Ovis aries: one gene and its partners. The main gene of each other region encodes a partner of the protein of the gene in region 2 in a complex. Links are inferred from orthologs where the notes say so. Each region holds a gene or a part of one and is shown on either strand. Other genes may lie near its edges.

Evidence for each region. Proteins that work in one complex are often made in the same cells at the same time.
Region 1: the proteins of DIAPH1 (region 2) and PFN2 are in contact, whole or in part, in a crystal structure (PDB 2V8F), measured with the Mus musculus proteins. The link is inferred for Ovis aries from reciprocal best matches to the Homo sapiens genes DIAPH1 and PFN2. Residues at the interface, in NP_031884.1 of Mus musculus: Ile635, Pro636, Pro637, Pro638, Pro639, Pro640, Leu641; in NP_062283.1 of Mus musculus: Ala2, Gly3, Trp4, Ser6, Tyr7, Asn10, Ala28, Tyr30, Trp32, Arg108, Met131, Tyr134, Leu135, Ser138, Phe140.
Region 3: the proteins of DIAPH1 (region 2) and PPFIA3 are in contact, whole or in part, in a crystal structure (PDB 4UWX), measured with the Mus musculus proteins. The link is inferred for Ovis aries from reciprocal best matches to the Homo sapiens genes DIAPH1 and PPFIA3. Residues at the interface, in NP_031884.1 of Mus musculus: Lys252, Ser255, Ala256, Ile259, Gln307, Asn310, Ala311, Thr314, Pro315, Ala316, Glu317, Arg322, Gln352, Cys354, Val355, Glu358, Gln359, Glu362; in NP_084017.2 of Mus musculus: Pro719, Arg720, Arg723, Leu724, Arg726, Met727, Ala728, Ala730, Leu731.

Annotation. Positions count from the first base shown.
Region 1 is NC_056054.1:238,933,178-238,937,351, reverse strand, and holds the start of PFN2 (profilin-2), read right to left. Parts: upstream 2,844-4,174; 5' UTR 2,812-2,843; coding exon 2,680-2,811; intron 563-2,679; coding exon 266-562; 3' UTR 1-265. UniProt on the Homo sapiens protein: Binds to actin and affects the structure of the cytoskeleton. At high concentrations, profilin prevents the polymerization of actin, whereas it enhances it at low concentrations. By binding to PIP2, it inhibits the formation of IP3 and DG.
Region 2 is NC_056058.1:50,368,650-50,372,899, forward strand, and holds the start of DIAPH1 (protein diaphanous homolog 1), read right to left. Parts: upstream 2,855-4,250; 5' UTR 2,724-2,854; coding exon 2,607-2,723; intron 1-2,606. UniProt on the Homo sapiens protein: Actin nucleation and elongation factor required for the assembly of F-actin structures, such as actin cables and stress fibers. Binds to the barbed end of the actin filament and slows down actin polymerization and depolymerization.
Region 3 is NC_056067.1:55,370,216-55,374,514, reverse strand, and holds the start of PPFIA3 (liprin-alpha-3), read right to left. Parts: upstream 2,844-4,299; 5' UTR 2,570-2,843; intron 2,012-2,569; exon of another isoform or gene 1-2,011. Other genes in the region: LIN7B (protein lin-7 homolog B), read right to left, coding at 3,895-3,916, 4,263-4,299. UniProt on the Homo sapiens protein: May regulate the disassembly of focal adhesions. May localize receptor-like tyrosine phosphatases type 2A at specific sites on the plasma membrane, possibly regulating their interaction with the extracellular environment and their association with substrates.

The DNA of each region.
Region 1 (4,174 bases), on a different chromosome or scaffold from region 2:
ACAAAGTGATTTTATTTTTTAACTTTTTACTTTATATTATAGTTGATTAACTTAATTTCAAGTGTAAAGTGGTTCAGTTATACATACAGAAGAGACAAATTTAGACTTTCAGTTTACTAAAGCTGGAACTGAAGAACTGATATTAATATTCTATTTTCAGCATAAAGTCAGGATCTCAGAGGTGAGGCTGTATATGCAGCTGCTGTAGAGCAAATGAATCTAAAGCAGTGCCTCCTTCAGTGCTCGGCAGTTCACAAAAACCACCTTAATAGCCATTATGGACTAACACTTTATTCAAAATGTTAAAGAAACTGCTGAATAAGTTGTAATGTGACTTGCAACTATTAACCAAAAGGGTACTGTACTCACCTCTACCAGCTCTGCCGACGGCAACGTTGTATGTTGGCTCCCCACCTTGACTCTTTGTCCGGATGTCCATTGTGCAGTCACCATCCACGTATAGGCTATCTCTGATCACTGAGCACTTCTTTGCACCAAGAGTCAAACCATTGGTAAAGAAACCTTCCCGGTCTTTTCCTACAATCATATCTATTTCTACTGGCTGCCCCCGCCCCCAACCACAAAAAAAAAAAAAAAAAAAAGAGAGAGAGAGAGAGAAAACAAAACAAAAAGTTTTAGTTAATTTCTTGTCCTGGTATAACAGGAAAAGTGTCAAGTTTGTACTACCACTACAAGACATCCACATTTCATTAATGTAAAACCAAGTTTCAGTCATTTCTAAAAAATAACTTAATCTTAAACGGGATGACATTTTATATCAGTTAGATTTCACAGTTAAGAGAGTGGTCTGTTAACTAAGCCCAGTCTATGCAAAGAATCTCCAGTTAGTAGATGACACTAGATAAACTACAAACTTAAGAGTTATTTATAAACTTGTTTCAAGTCAGGTGGTACCCGAAGTGCTTATGTAATGGTAAAGATTCACCCAGAAACTTTCAACAAAATCTTACCTATCACAATCACGTAACAGTCTTGTCATATCAAACTTAAAGTTGTTTGAAAGTCTCCTGGAACAAAGCCCATGCTTGGCAGATCTGGTTACATCTACTCTGCTTCAAATAGCTTGACATACCCCCCTAGTATGAACTTCAAGCCCTGAATCTCAGCGCATCCCCAAATTCATATTTCCCTCCTCTTTTATTTTCGCTGCTACTCCCTCTCCAACTTTCCTTCCCCTCCCTCCTAAGTAATCAGTTTTCTTTCTGGGCAAATGCAAAGAGGATTCTGTCTGTAGCGCTGCAATAAGCAACCATAAAAGAACAGAGAAAATGGAGGGAGAGTGGGAAAGAAACTGAGGTAGCGACCAGAACCGGAAAGGAGAAAACGTGCATTCTAACATTCCATGAATAAGAAGGAAGGCGTCGCCCCCATCAGAACTGCAGAGTCATAGCAGGCCCCAGCCATTTCCAAGCACACTCCCGCAATCTTCCCAGCCAAACAGCGGGAACTCACACACAAAGACAAGAGGACTGCAGGAAAAAAGTTGATCGCCAGACGGCAATTCTCTGTAAGATTTGTAGTCCACTGCGGCAACAGAGAGCCGGAAAGTACCTGGATCAGGAGTTCTACACAGTTAGACCTTAAACATGTTAAGCAGTACAAGAATAATTAGTAGCACCCATAGTAAAGGGGCCTGAATTTTGGCATTTGATAGGAAGGGGGCGTGAAGCGTAGGAAATTAAGAGAATGGTCCTGTATTTGATATAATGTCACCATTTTAGACCCTTGTGCAGAAAGAGGCAAAACAATAAAGCAGCACTGGAGGGCTTATTGACAGTTATTCCCCAAACATGTGGCAACCGAGTCAAACCACCAAGTCACAAGAAAATCAGGCACCGGGAAGCATTAATCTGCATTAGTTCCCTTACGAAGATCACTAAAGAGGGAGGGACTTGGAGAACTGAACATCCCCTCGGTCTTCGCAGATTATTGAAAGCCCCAAGCACCCCCTTTTTTTAGAACTCTGTTGCGTAACTGGGGATAACGGTATATCGATGAATCTCCATAGGAAAGAAATCAATGGCAGATCGCCATCTTGGAGAATTAAAAAAAAAAAAAAAATCCTATGGAGCCAGAGATTCACGAATCCACCTACGTTGTCTGCGTTCATTTCTCGCAAGCCCAAGAGGCCTGGACACCGGCAAATCTACGCCAAGTGGCCGCGAGGATCCTGGGGGCCGGGCAGCCGCCGCCTCCCACAGCTCGCGGCGCGGGCGGCGCGCCGTCACCGGAGGAGCTAGGGGCGGCTAGACCACCCGAGGACCCGCGCCCCAGCCCGGCTCCTCCGGTCCCCGCTTCCACCCGGGAATGTACAAAGCAAACCTCAGGGCTTCCAGGGGACCCCAGGGCGGGGGCGAGAAAAGGGAAAAGGCCCCCCACCCACGAACCGGTGCGTACCCCCTCCCCCAGCCTCATCCGGACAAGCTGTGGGAACGCCGGCGAGCCCGGCCGCCGCCCCCGCCACTCAGCGCAGCCCCTGCGAGGGGGCGTCCCCGGGCCTCGGCCTCTCCGCCCGCCCGGTAGCCGCATCCTCGGCGCCCGCCGCTCCTCACACCTGCCGGCGCGGCCCTGCCCGAGTCCGGCCCCGCGCTGCGGCGCCCCCACGGCCGGCCCCGCATGGGTCCGGGGCCGGGTACCCAGGTCCCCGCCGGTCCTCACCGTAATGCTCTGGAAGACGCCCCCGGCCGTGGCTGCCCAGACGTATTTGGCGTCGCAGTAGCCGACAATGGCGGCCTCCTGGCAGCAGCCATCGCACATCAGGTTATCCACGTAGCTCTGCCAACCGGCCATCTTCGAGCCCTTCGCACTGCAGCGGGGACGGCAAGGAGCAGCAGGCGCAGCGGCGGCGACGGCGGCGGTCGCGGGCGGCGGCGGCGCGGGGGGAGGCGGGGCGGGGGCGGAGAGGAGGCGGCTCTGCGCAAGCACCGACCGCCCCCCTCCCCGAGGAGCTGCGGAGGGAGGACGCGGGGACGGCGGTGAGGGACAAGCCGCGGAGCGCGCCCGGCCCGGCCGCCCTCCCGCCCGCGACCGCGGGGCTGATTAACTAGCGGCGGCAGGCTGCGGAGCGGCAGTGCCGGCGACGGCGCTGGAGACTACTCCTCACTGTGGCTCCCTTAGCTCTCCGCCGTTCCGGCGGGGCGTGCGCGCGCGCGTGCGTGCGATCCTTCCGCGGCGCCCTGACTCTGAGGGTCCCGAGAAGGGAGGGGGAGACTGAGCGGGGGCGCGGCCGCGGAGGGATACTGCCCGGGGCAATCACGGCGCCACGTGCGGCCGGCGAGGTCTGAGTGAGGCGGGTGGTTGAGGGTGGCTGAGCCTCGGACCCCGGGCCTACGGAGAGGGCGTCTCTCGAGTTGCACTCAGTACCCCTGGGACGGCGGCGTCTGGGGAGCCTCGGAGTCCCCGCGTCCGGGCTGTGAAACGCCTCGGTCCTGCGGCCGGCGGCTCGGGATGCGGAATCTTGCGCCTCGGTGTCGGATTGCAGAGTTGCCCTGGTGACGGGATGCGGAGCGTTAACTCCTCTTTGTGGTCCCGGCGGGCGGGTAGCAGAGTCGGCCACTGTCATCTTAGGCATCCTCAGTGGGACCCTCTTCTCTGGACCTCTCGGCCACAAAGGCTACCAGGCGGGCGCACTCCAGCAATCTGAAATCAGAGTGGCATTCTTGGCTTTCAGGAACATTTCTGAGCTTTGCTGGTCTTTCATTGTTGCTTCATTTGGGTACCAAAGGCCTCTCATTGTGTGGGTTCCTTGATAGGAAGATCCTCTCTTCCCCTGTCTTAAAGCGGCTAAATTGCTCGTAAATTCCGAAGGAAACAAATAGCTAGCAATGTAAAACTATTGGTTGGTAACGGAATATTACTGGTGGGTCGAAGAAATCTGAATATATAAAGAATTTAAAAATCTAAGAACGGGTTCGTTGTATGAACATGTTAGTATTTCTACTCTCAAAAGCTAAACTAATTTCGGGACCCAGATCGGAGAATGGCTTGTATTTAGGTGGTAAAACATGGGTAGAGTCCCTGTGAATATTGCGTGGTCTTTAGTAACCGCTGGGCGTTATGACTATGCAAAGGATTAGGAGACTTCCCACAATTTCGATTTTAAATGAACTAAACGATCTGTCAGTGAAGGGAAGAGAGCGTCTCAAAGCGTTTT
Region 2 (4,250 bases):
CTTTTTCAACTTAGGCTCCTTGTGTGCTTTCCACACAAGCTACCTCAGAGAGTAAAGAGCAAATCTTTGGTAACTTGTGAGTTCTGTTTTCTCATCAGTTGATCTACACTTAGAACCGCATAAGCTTGGAAAGGTATACAGCAGCTAAAGGGATTAGTAACTCCTCAGATGCAAACAAATAATCTTCAGGCACACTCAGTCCAAACGAGCACAGTTTTATAAAATGTATTCTTAATGGAGTTCCCGAGGACACACACTAGAAAAGGTGGAGTAGGCGAAACCCTTTTGACTTCACTTTTAGCCTACAGTTCAAGGAAACTAAGCCATGGGTAACAAATGCAAACCAGCAATCTCGCCCACTCTACCACCCCCATATACATACACAGACACAAAGAGAAGTGGATTGCAATGCTCCTCCTAGGCTCTCATTTCCACAGAGTTCTTACATAAAAAGCAACGAGAAAGACAGACTATGGTAAAGCCTTGAGGTATGGTACAGCTGGCAGTAAAGGGGTTAAACAGCACTACTTTCCTGGAAACCTACCAATCCCTCAGCCAGGAATGCAATTCTCACTATCTGTGTGTGTACATATTTTCTAAAAATTCAGCAGATTAAGAGTTAAGAAAAACACCTCAAAAGAAAAAGAGAACTTGGTTCAGCTCCACCCTCCCTAAAGCAAATACCAACTCTGAGCCAAATCCACTCAGCATACACAAGACTCCATGGACATTCCAAAAAACAGGTGAAAAGAAGTTGAATTTCCTCAGGTATCTCACTGTTCAGCCCCAAATACTTCGCAGAATTCACAAATTGGTGAAACTCATGTTAGATACAACAAGCACACATAAAATTCCATTTAGAACTTGAAAAACATTTACAAGTCACAAAGGTCACTATAAATCAGCAAAAATAGCTGGAATTCGGGTGAGTAAGGTCAAATAGTACCCATGGAAACAAAAGCAAAACAAAAGGATACAGAAATAGAAGATACACGGGCCCTAAAGCTTAAGACTTCGCAGGAAAGCTCCCTAACTAGAGTGTCATGCTTATCCTAAAGAAACCTAGGAGAATGTTGCTTTGATCACCAGTGAGGGAAGGTTGTCACTACTATTAAACCCACATTTCTGGGGGGGAAAAGACAGTCACCAGATAAAAACAGGCACTGACTTGACAGCCTATAGTCACTGGATAAGACAGTCCAGAAGCACCTGTCTTGATGGAAATAGGTAGGAAGAGATGAGTCACTATTTTAAATCTGTTCAGTACTCTCCACATCTCAACCCTCAACGTCCCAAAGCAACATTATCTTCCTGTTTTCATCACTTTCTCAGTTTTCTTCCCAAACTTGTGGAGCTGCGTCAGAATGCTAATGGGTGGGGATAAGAGAAAGAGGGAAAGTTAGAAACCATTTGGTTAGTAGAAAGAAGACACCGAGGCGCGGAGTTAATTACCTGGGAGAGACTACAAAACTAGTTAGGAAAGGTTATTAAGATCCAAGACGCCCTATCTTGGACAGCGCCTCCTATCTTTCCCTCGATAGCGTAAAAACCAACATTCAGTGTAGGCAAAGATAATAAGATACCACGGTGTTACACGAATACCAATATCCTTTCAGACTGGAAGTAACTGGCACCTGAGGAAAACCCGACTCTTCTACAGGTCGGGAAAAAGGTTATCAGTAGCCCTGGAGCACAGGAGGTAGCAGAAGAGCTGAGGAGATTGTTATCATGAAAACGCACAGAAGACAGTTATAATCAGGTACTCAAAAACTTCTGGACCTTTTTAGTCCAACTTCTTCCCCGTGGGGTAGGGTGATCACCACTCTTAAGTCAAGAAGGGCATATTCTTGAGAGAAGTTCCAATCCCCTGACAAGTGACCGATTAGCAACAGAGCAAAGAGACAGGTGTTCTGGATGGGGAAATACTGGAAAGTCAACTACCGTCATACCCAACGACCACAGGAACTGGGCAGGAACCCCTTTCTGCAGTCACAAGGACAAACGTCCAAGGGAAGAGGGAAGGTAGGGCCCAAGTCAGGTAACATTCCTGAGGGGAAGGATTATCAGGTGACACCGGGCTGAGGGCCCAGAGAGGGGACTGGGCGGGAGCAAAGTTAGCAGGTGAAAGGGATCAAGCCTGGGGAAGGAAGTGACCTTTGGAGAAGCAAATAAGAAGATACCAAAAAAGGGGGGAAGGGTAATAAGAGAAAACGGACCCAGAAAAGCACTGAGGCTAGAGATAGAGAAGGCGTGTTCGGGTAACGGAGGAAGAAGAAAGGAAGTGGGGCTGAGAGGGAAGAGATAGGGCTGAGACTGTCCAGGGCTACGCGGGTAAGGGCAGAACATGAGGGCGGGGAGAAGAGGGGTGAAGAAAGCCCCGAGGTTGCCAGGGCAAGAGCCGGGTGGGACTCCGGGGATTCCCGAGGTCCCAGAGCGGCCGGAGGTCGGGCTTCGGAGCCCAGCATCGAGCAAAACGAGGAAGGGAGGCGCGGGGGCGGCTCCCTAGAAACGGGCGTGCACCCCTGGGGCCAGCTGCGGGGGGTCTCTGGGGTCCTGAGGGCGGTTAAGGGGCCAGCCTGAGGGAACCAGGTGGGAGGGACACTCACAAATTTCTTGGATTTGCCGCCGTCGCCGCCTGCCGAAGGCAGCTCGTCCGGGTTCCGGCCCTTCTTCTTGTCCCGGGTCCCGCGGCCGGGTCCCAGGCCCCCGCCGGGCGGCTCCATGTCCAGGTTTGCGTTGCTAGTGACCCCGCGCCCACGCCGCTCCCGCCCGGCAGCTCCAAGCCCGCCGCTGCCGCCGCCGCCGCCGCCGCCGCCCAGCAGCTTCTCAGTCCGCCGCCGCGCCCCGCCTCATTAGCATGCCGGGCTGCGCGCGCCTCATGAATATACAACGGCGACGCCTTGCTCCCGCCCGCCTGCCCCACTTCCGCCCGGACCCGCAGCACCTACCAACGGGGGAAGGGAGAGGGTGGAGGAAAGCCGCGGAAGCGCACTACCTGCCTGGCGGGCCTAACCATTTGGACTCACGTTGAGGGGTGGGGGGGGAGGGTGAGTGGGCGGTGTAACTCTGGGACAGCGCCGCCTGCCGGTTGGAGCAGCGCAGGCCTCCCTGCTCCCATGCAGTGCCCACGTGGCTGTGAAGCCTGGACCCTCTCACACCCCAGAGTGTGATATTATTATCTGAACAAAAAAATTGCATGAGAGAGACTTATCCTGGCAGAAAATTTAGTGCCAAGCTTTCCCGGATAATAGTTTTTATGTGTTCAATACCCACGGAGCACACGAAAAAATAAAGTGATAGCTACCATTTATGTGCCAAGAACAGAGCTTGGTTCAGGGCCAGTGCTAGAGCAAACTCTACCTGCTCTGGAGTTCAATTACCTAGTTCTAAATTCCAGGTCTACTACGTTCCACGTTCCTAATCTGGGAAAACTAGTTATTGCCACTGCTGTGCCTGAAACTTAATAATAGTTAACCATTTACCATACACTTGTTCTATGCCAGACCCTTTGCAAAAACATGACGTGTATTTTCTTACTGAATCTCCACAATGGCATGTGACAGATTCCACTAGTCTCACCATTTTAAGGACAGGAAATCTGTACAACGACAATTGAAGTGACTTACCCAAGGACACATAATTGACCAAAAAAAATAAAACCAGGTTGGTCTGATTGCCAAGCCCTGTGTTTAAAAAGGATTCCCTACTGACATGAAGAACTGACTCAGTTCTTTCTTTTCATGAAGAAAAGACCCTGATGCTGGGAGAAAAGAAAAGACCCTGATGCTGGGAAAAACTGAAGGCAGAAGGAGAAGGGGATGACAGAAGATAAGATGGTTGGATGGCATTACTGACTCGATTAACATGAGTTTGAGTAGGCTCTGGAGTTGGTGATGGACAGGGATGCTGCAGTCCATGGGGTCCCAAAGAGTTGGACACGACTGAGCAACTGAACTCAACTGAATTAACATAACCCAAACTGAGTGAAAAGAACAGGCATTCTCCAAAAGTGTGTTCTTTGCTCTACTCACTTGATTCTTTTCTCACCAATTTCCTCTATTCTCCCAAATACATCTGGTCCTTTGTATGAACAGTATGTGGCACCCAGTAGGCCTTCAAACTCTGGACTTAATTATCTTGCTCACAACCAGCAAAAGACTTCAACTGCATGTTCCTGGAGGACAGCCAGTGACTCACTAGGGAGCCGCCAGCGCTCAATCTAGGGTCTGGTATGTTACAAGGAGTCTGCC
Region 3 (4,299 bases), on a different chromosome or scaffold from region 2:
GGCATAAGGACTGAGCTGGCAAAGGAGCTGGGGGTGGGGGTGGTGTGTTCTAGAAATGAGGACATTTCTAGGCTGAAGACTCCAGAACAAGAGAGGGCCTAGAGCATGTTTAGAATGCTGAAGTGGCAGATGGAAGAAGCCCACAGTCCACCAGGGGACAAGTTCTGAGCCAAGGTCACACTGGGGGAAAAGATAGACAGAGAAGGTGGGGATGGATGGGCTTAGAATACAGAACCTGAAGAAGGAAGGTGCAGTGTAATCCTGGGGACTTAAGACTGTAGAACTGGATGGTATATAAAATAGGGAGGTTCAGAGACTTCCCTGGTGGTCCAGTGGTCAAGACTCTGCCGTTTCACTGCAGGGGGTGTAGGTTCGATCCCTGGTTGGGGACCTAAGATCCCCCATACCTCACAGCAAAGCCCAAAAATAAATAAAATGAAATGCGGAAACATATTCTAGAACTGATAACGCAGTTTGGAGAAAAGCTACAGCCCATAAATGGAACACACACACACATTCTAGCACTGAGAATGCCCCTGGGAAAAGAACAGAATCTAGAACATTGCCAAGGATGTGGCTAGAACCTAGAACACACCCAAAATGAAATTTTAAAAGAAAATAAGCAAAGACTGGCTTCTTAAAAATTGGAATATGTCAGGAATTACTTGGCGGTCCAGTGGTTAGGACTAGGCACTTTCACTGCTGGGGCCTGGGTTGGATCCCTGGTCAGGGAACTAAGATCTGTGGGGGAGAAAGTGGTGGGGGGAGGAAGGAACATATCTAAGGGGAGGAAAGTGGGCTTGGCAGCTTGGCTTGGGAGCACTAATCAGAAATTTGAATTTACCTGGGGAATATCATGACTCGAATTTAGCATCTAACCTAGAATTTAGAACATACCTTGGGTGAAAAAGGAACAGAGATGTTCACTGAGAATATTCTAGGATTTAGAAATAATTCCACGAAGCACTGCCAGTGTGCCTGTTTAGTTGGAAATACGGAAGGCAATTCTAGATCACGAAATGAACCTAGGTCACAGAGCACATCTGGAGAAAGGGATGTATGCTCGGTTTATCAATCTGAGAATGTACTTGAAGGATGGGGCATCACGATATGAAAACATCATGATGGGGTGCTGGAAGCATCTCAAGAACCTGGGTCTCAGGGGAAAATATTGGAAACCCCAGGAAGCCCAAAATCTGAGCTGATAAGGGGATGAGGCAGGGGTTTTTCAAGGCCACCAGAGTTGATGGGCAATAGTGAGGCTGTAGGGACTTGGGTCCCTAAGAGTAACAGCTGAGCAGCTAGATACTTTGGAGGTCAGAGTTGAGGAACTGGACTCCTGAATCTTTGTGGAGGCAAAAGACAGGAGATGGAAGTTTGGAGCCTGAGTCCTTGTTGGAAGGGAGGGCAGGGGTAGATGGCTTTGATGAGCAGTACAGAAGGTGGGGTCTGAATTCCTGGGTCGCTGAGGGGAGACAGGATCAGGGACAGGGCATTTAGGTCTTCAACGGGGAGGACGGGCAGAAGCCAGCGAATTGCATTAAGAATTGCATTCTGAGCCCCTGAAAGGGAGGAATCATGGCGCCTGAATCCCTAAGGGGGCAGATGCTGGGGTGCCAGGAGGCTGGGTATATTTATTGCAGGGGAACAGGGCTTTGAACTGGGTCTCTAAAGGGGCAAAGGCTGGGAAACTGGATTCCTTCCTGGAGTGGTGAAGGCTACCAGCTGGGGCCTCTAGCCAGAGGAAGTGAGGACTGACAAGGCTTCCAGACCCGGGTAGGATCTGGATCCTCGGATTCCAAGATCCCTAAGGTGGACCAGGCAAGAACATTCAGAAGCCACGACTCCTCAAATAGCAGCTGGGGTCACCGCAACTGGGGTGCTGAGGATGGGGCTGAGAGCCTGGCCAGAGGAATCCTGAGGCCCGGGCGCCCAGGTCGGGGAGGGCCTGGGTATTCCCGGGTCAAAGGCGCGGCGAGGGGGATCCCCGCGCCGCCGGCGCCCCCTCCCCGGCGGCGGCAGCGGGAGGTGGGGGAGACAAGGCTGCCGAGAATGGTGACCATGGACAGCTCCAGAGCGGGCCTGTGTCCAGGGCGGCCGCTGAGCCGGCCTGGACCGAGGGACTCGGCCGGCTGTACAAGCCGGAGGACCGGAGATGGGCTGACTGGGTCCCCGAATGGGGGACTATGCCGACGCGACCGAGGGAGGGGGGGCCGGCGGCTCTAGCTGGGGGAGTCTGACACAGCCTTGGTCGGTGTCGATCTCCCAGGACTGGGCCGAGGAGGAGGATCTTGGTCCAGAGGGGGTTCCCGGGGCTGACCTGGGAAATTAAGGCTCCCGGGCCCTGGAGGAGGCGCAAGGCGGCAGTACGCCTGGGATCCTAGGGTTCGGTTGGTGACTCTGAGAGCTGGGAGGGACACGCCTGAGTCTCTGGGGTCGGGCTGTGAAATCTGGGCTGTGAGGTCCTCGGAGGAGAAGAGAATCCAGGTTCTCGGAGAGGCGGGGGAAGCTCGGCGAGGGGTCCCCCGGGTGGGCGCTGCCAGGCGGGCCGGGCTGGGCTCTTACCTACCTGGTCCGCGGCGGCTGCGGGCGGAGCTGGGCTGCAGGAGGGACGTGGGGGTGGGGTGGGGGGACCGGGCGGGGCCCCTGGCGGCGGCCGGGGCCCGGATCTGTAGCTCTGGAGCCCAGTCTCCGCGGCTCGCGCGGGCTCCGCGTCTCTTGCTCCGGCTTGGGCGCTGGGGTCCCCCTCCCCTTCACGGTCTAACAGCCCTTTACCCCCTAAAATAGCCCCCTGCCCCTGTCACCGTTCAGCCTCCCCCCGCGAGGCCGCAGCCACCAGATCTAGGGGTGCTCACCAGCGCCCCCCAAATCCCACCTTCCCCCGCCAAAAAATTCCTCCTCCCTCCTCCCCCCCGCAACCAGCGCTGGGGCGGTCGTGGCCCCTTTAACAGGAGACAGACAGACGGCGCCGAGTGGCCAATGGGAGGCGGTGTCGAAGCCGGCCGGCGGTTAGGCCCCGCCCCCGCACTGCCTGGGAGGGGTCGCGCGGGCGGAGAGCGAGAGGCGGGGCTAAGGCGGGTCGGCCAATAGGCACGCGGCGTGAGGCGGCTGGGGCGGGAGGCGGAGCCCGGCATGGGGATGATGTCACCTGGAGCGAGTGGCGCGCGGCGTGGAACGCCAGTCGCGACCCCGGATTCCGGCGGTGGCGCGCGCCTGCCCTCGCGCCGCACGGGACAGGAGGGTTGGGCGGGCGGCGAGGTGGGAGTAAAAGATGGCTTTTAAGATGGGGGCGGCTCCCGGAGACACGCGCTCGGGTTATAAGGTGGGATGAATGCCTGGTCGGCGAGTGCACCTTACTCTGCACCCCATGAGCCCGCCTCGGAAACTGCACGTGGCACCCCCACCTCTCGCGCAGACTATTGCGCGGCCGGCAGGGCTCCCCCGGCGGACTAGGCTAATGGTTCGCTCCGCCCCGCCCACACAGAGGCCGCCCACTGACTCTGGCGCGTTTCAGGACTCCTCTGTCAGACCAGCTATAGAGAAAGGGGGCTTGGTTTCCGCCCTCAGAATCTCGGAAGGGTAGGGGGGAGTTGTCTTCAGCTCTGATCCCGCGCTCAGACCCAGATCAGGTCCCAGCCTCCATCCTGGACTTATGGTTGGGAAACCGGCCAGCCTCTGTCTTCGGACCTGGCGAAAAGTCTCAAGTTCCGCTCTCAGACCCTGAAAAGGGTCTGGTCTCGACCTCAGCTTCTCTCCCTCCCACATCTCCAGACACTCCAACCCGTGGATGCAGGACAGACACAGACACTCAAGGAGGGTCAAAGATCTTTAAATAAGGAGTTGGTGACAATAAATACTGTACAGGGGAGGGGGTGAGAGTCCAGATCTGTGGTTTCAGCCTCGAGACTCCAAGGACCTAAAAGGAGGGTGAAGAGAGGGGAGCCAAGCTCAGCGGAGAAGACAGTGGTAGGCATGGGAGAGAGAGCCAGGATTGGGGTTCCAGAGCCAAGACCCCAGGGAAGTGGGTTGAGGGATTCCAGAGAGAGCAGGTTCCCCATCTTGGGGTGGAAGTAAGCTAAGTAGGGGCCCCCAAGGTAGTCAGAATGGTTTGGGGTGAGAGTCGGGGTCAAGGGTCAGAATCCCAGAGAAAGGAGCCAGGGCTAGGGGTGGCAATCAGTGTCTCAGAAATTACCGGCCTGGTCTGGGAGTCTGGGGATGAGGGAGGCAGAGGAGCCCCAGGGGTGTGGTGGCAAAGGGCTCACGAGTAGCTCTGATGTTGCTGGCGCCGCCGGGCGGAGC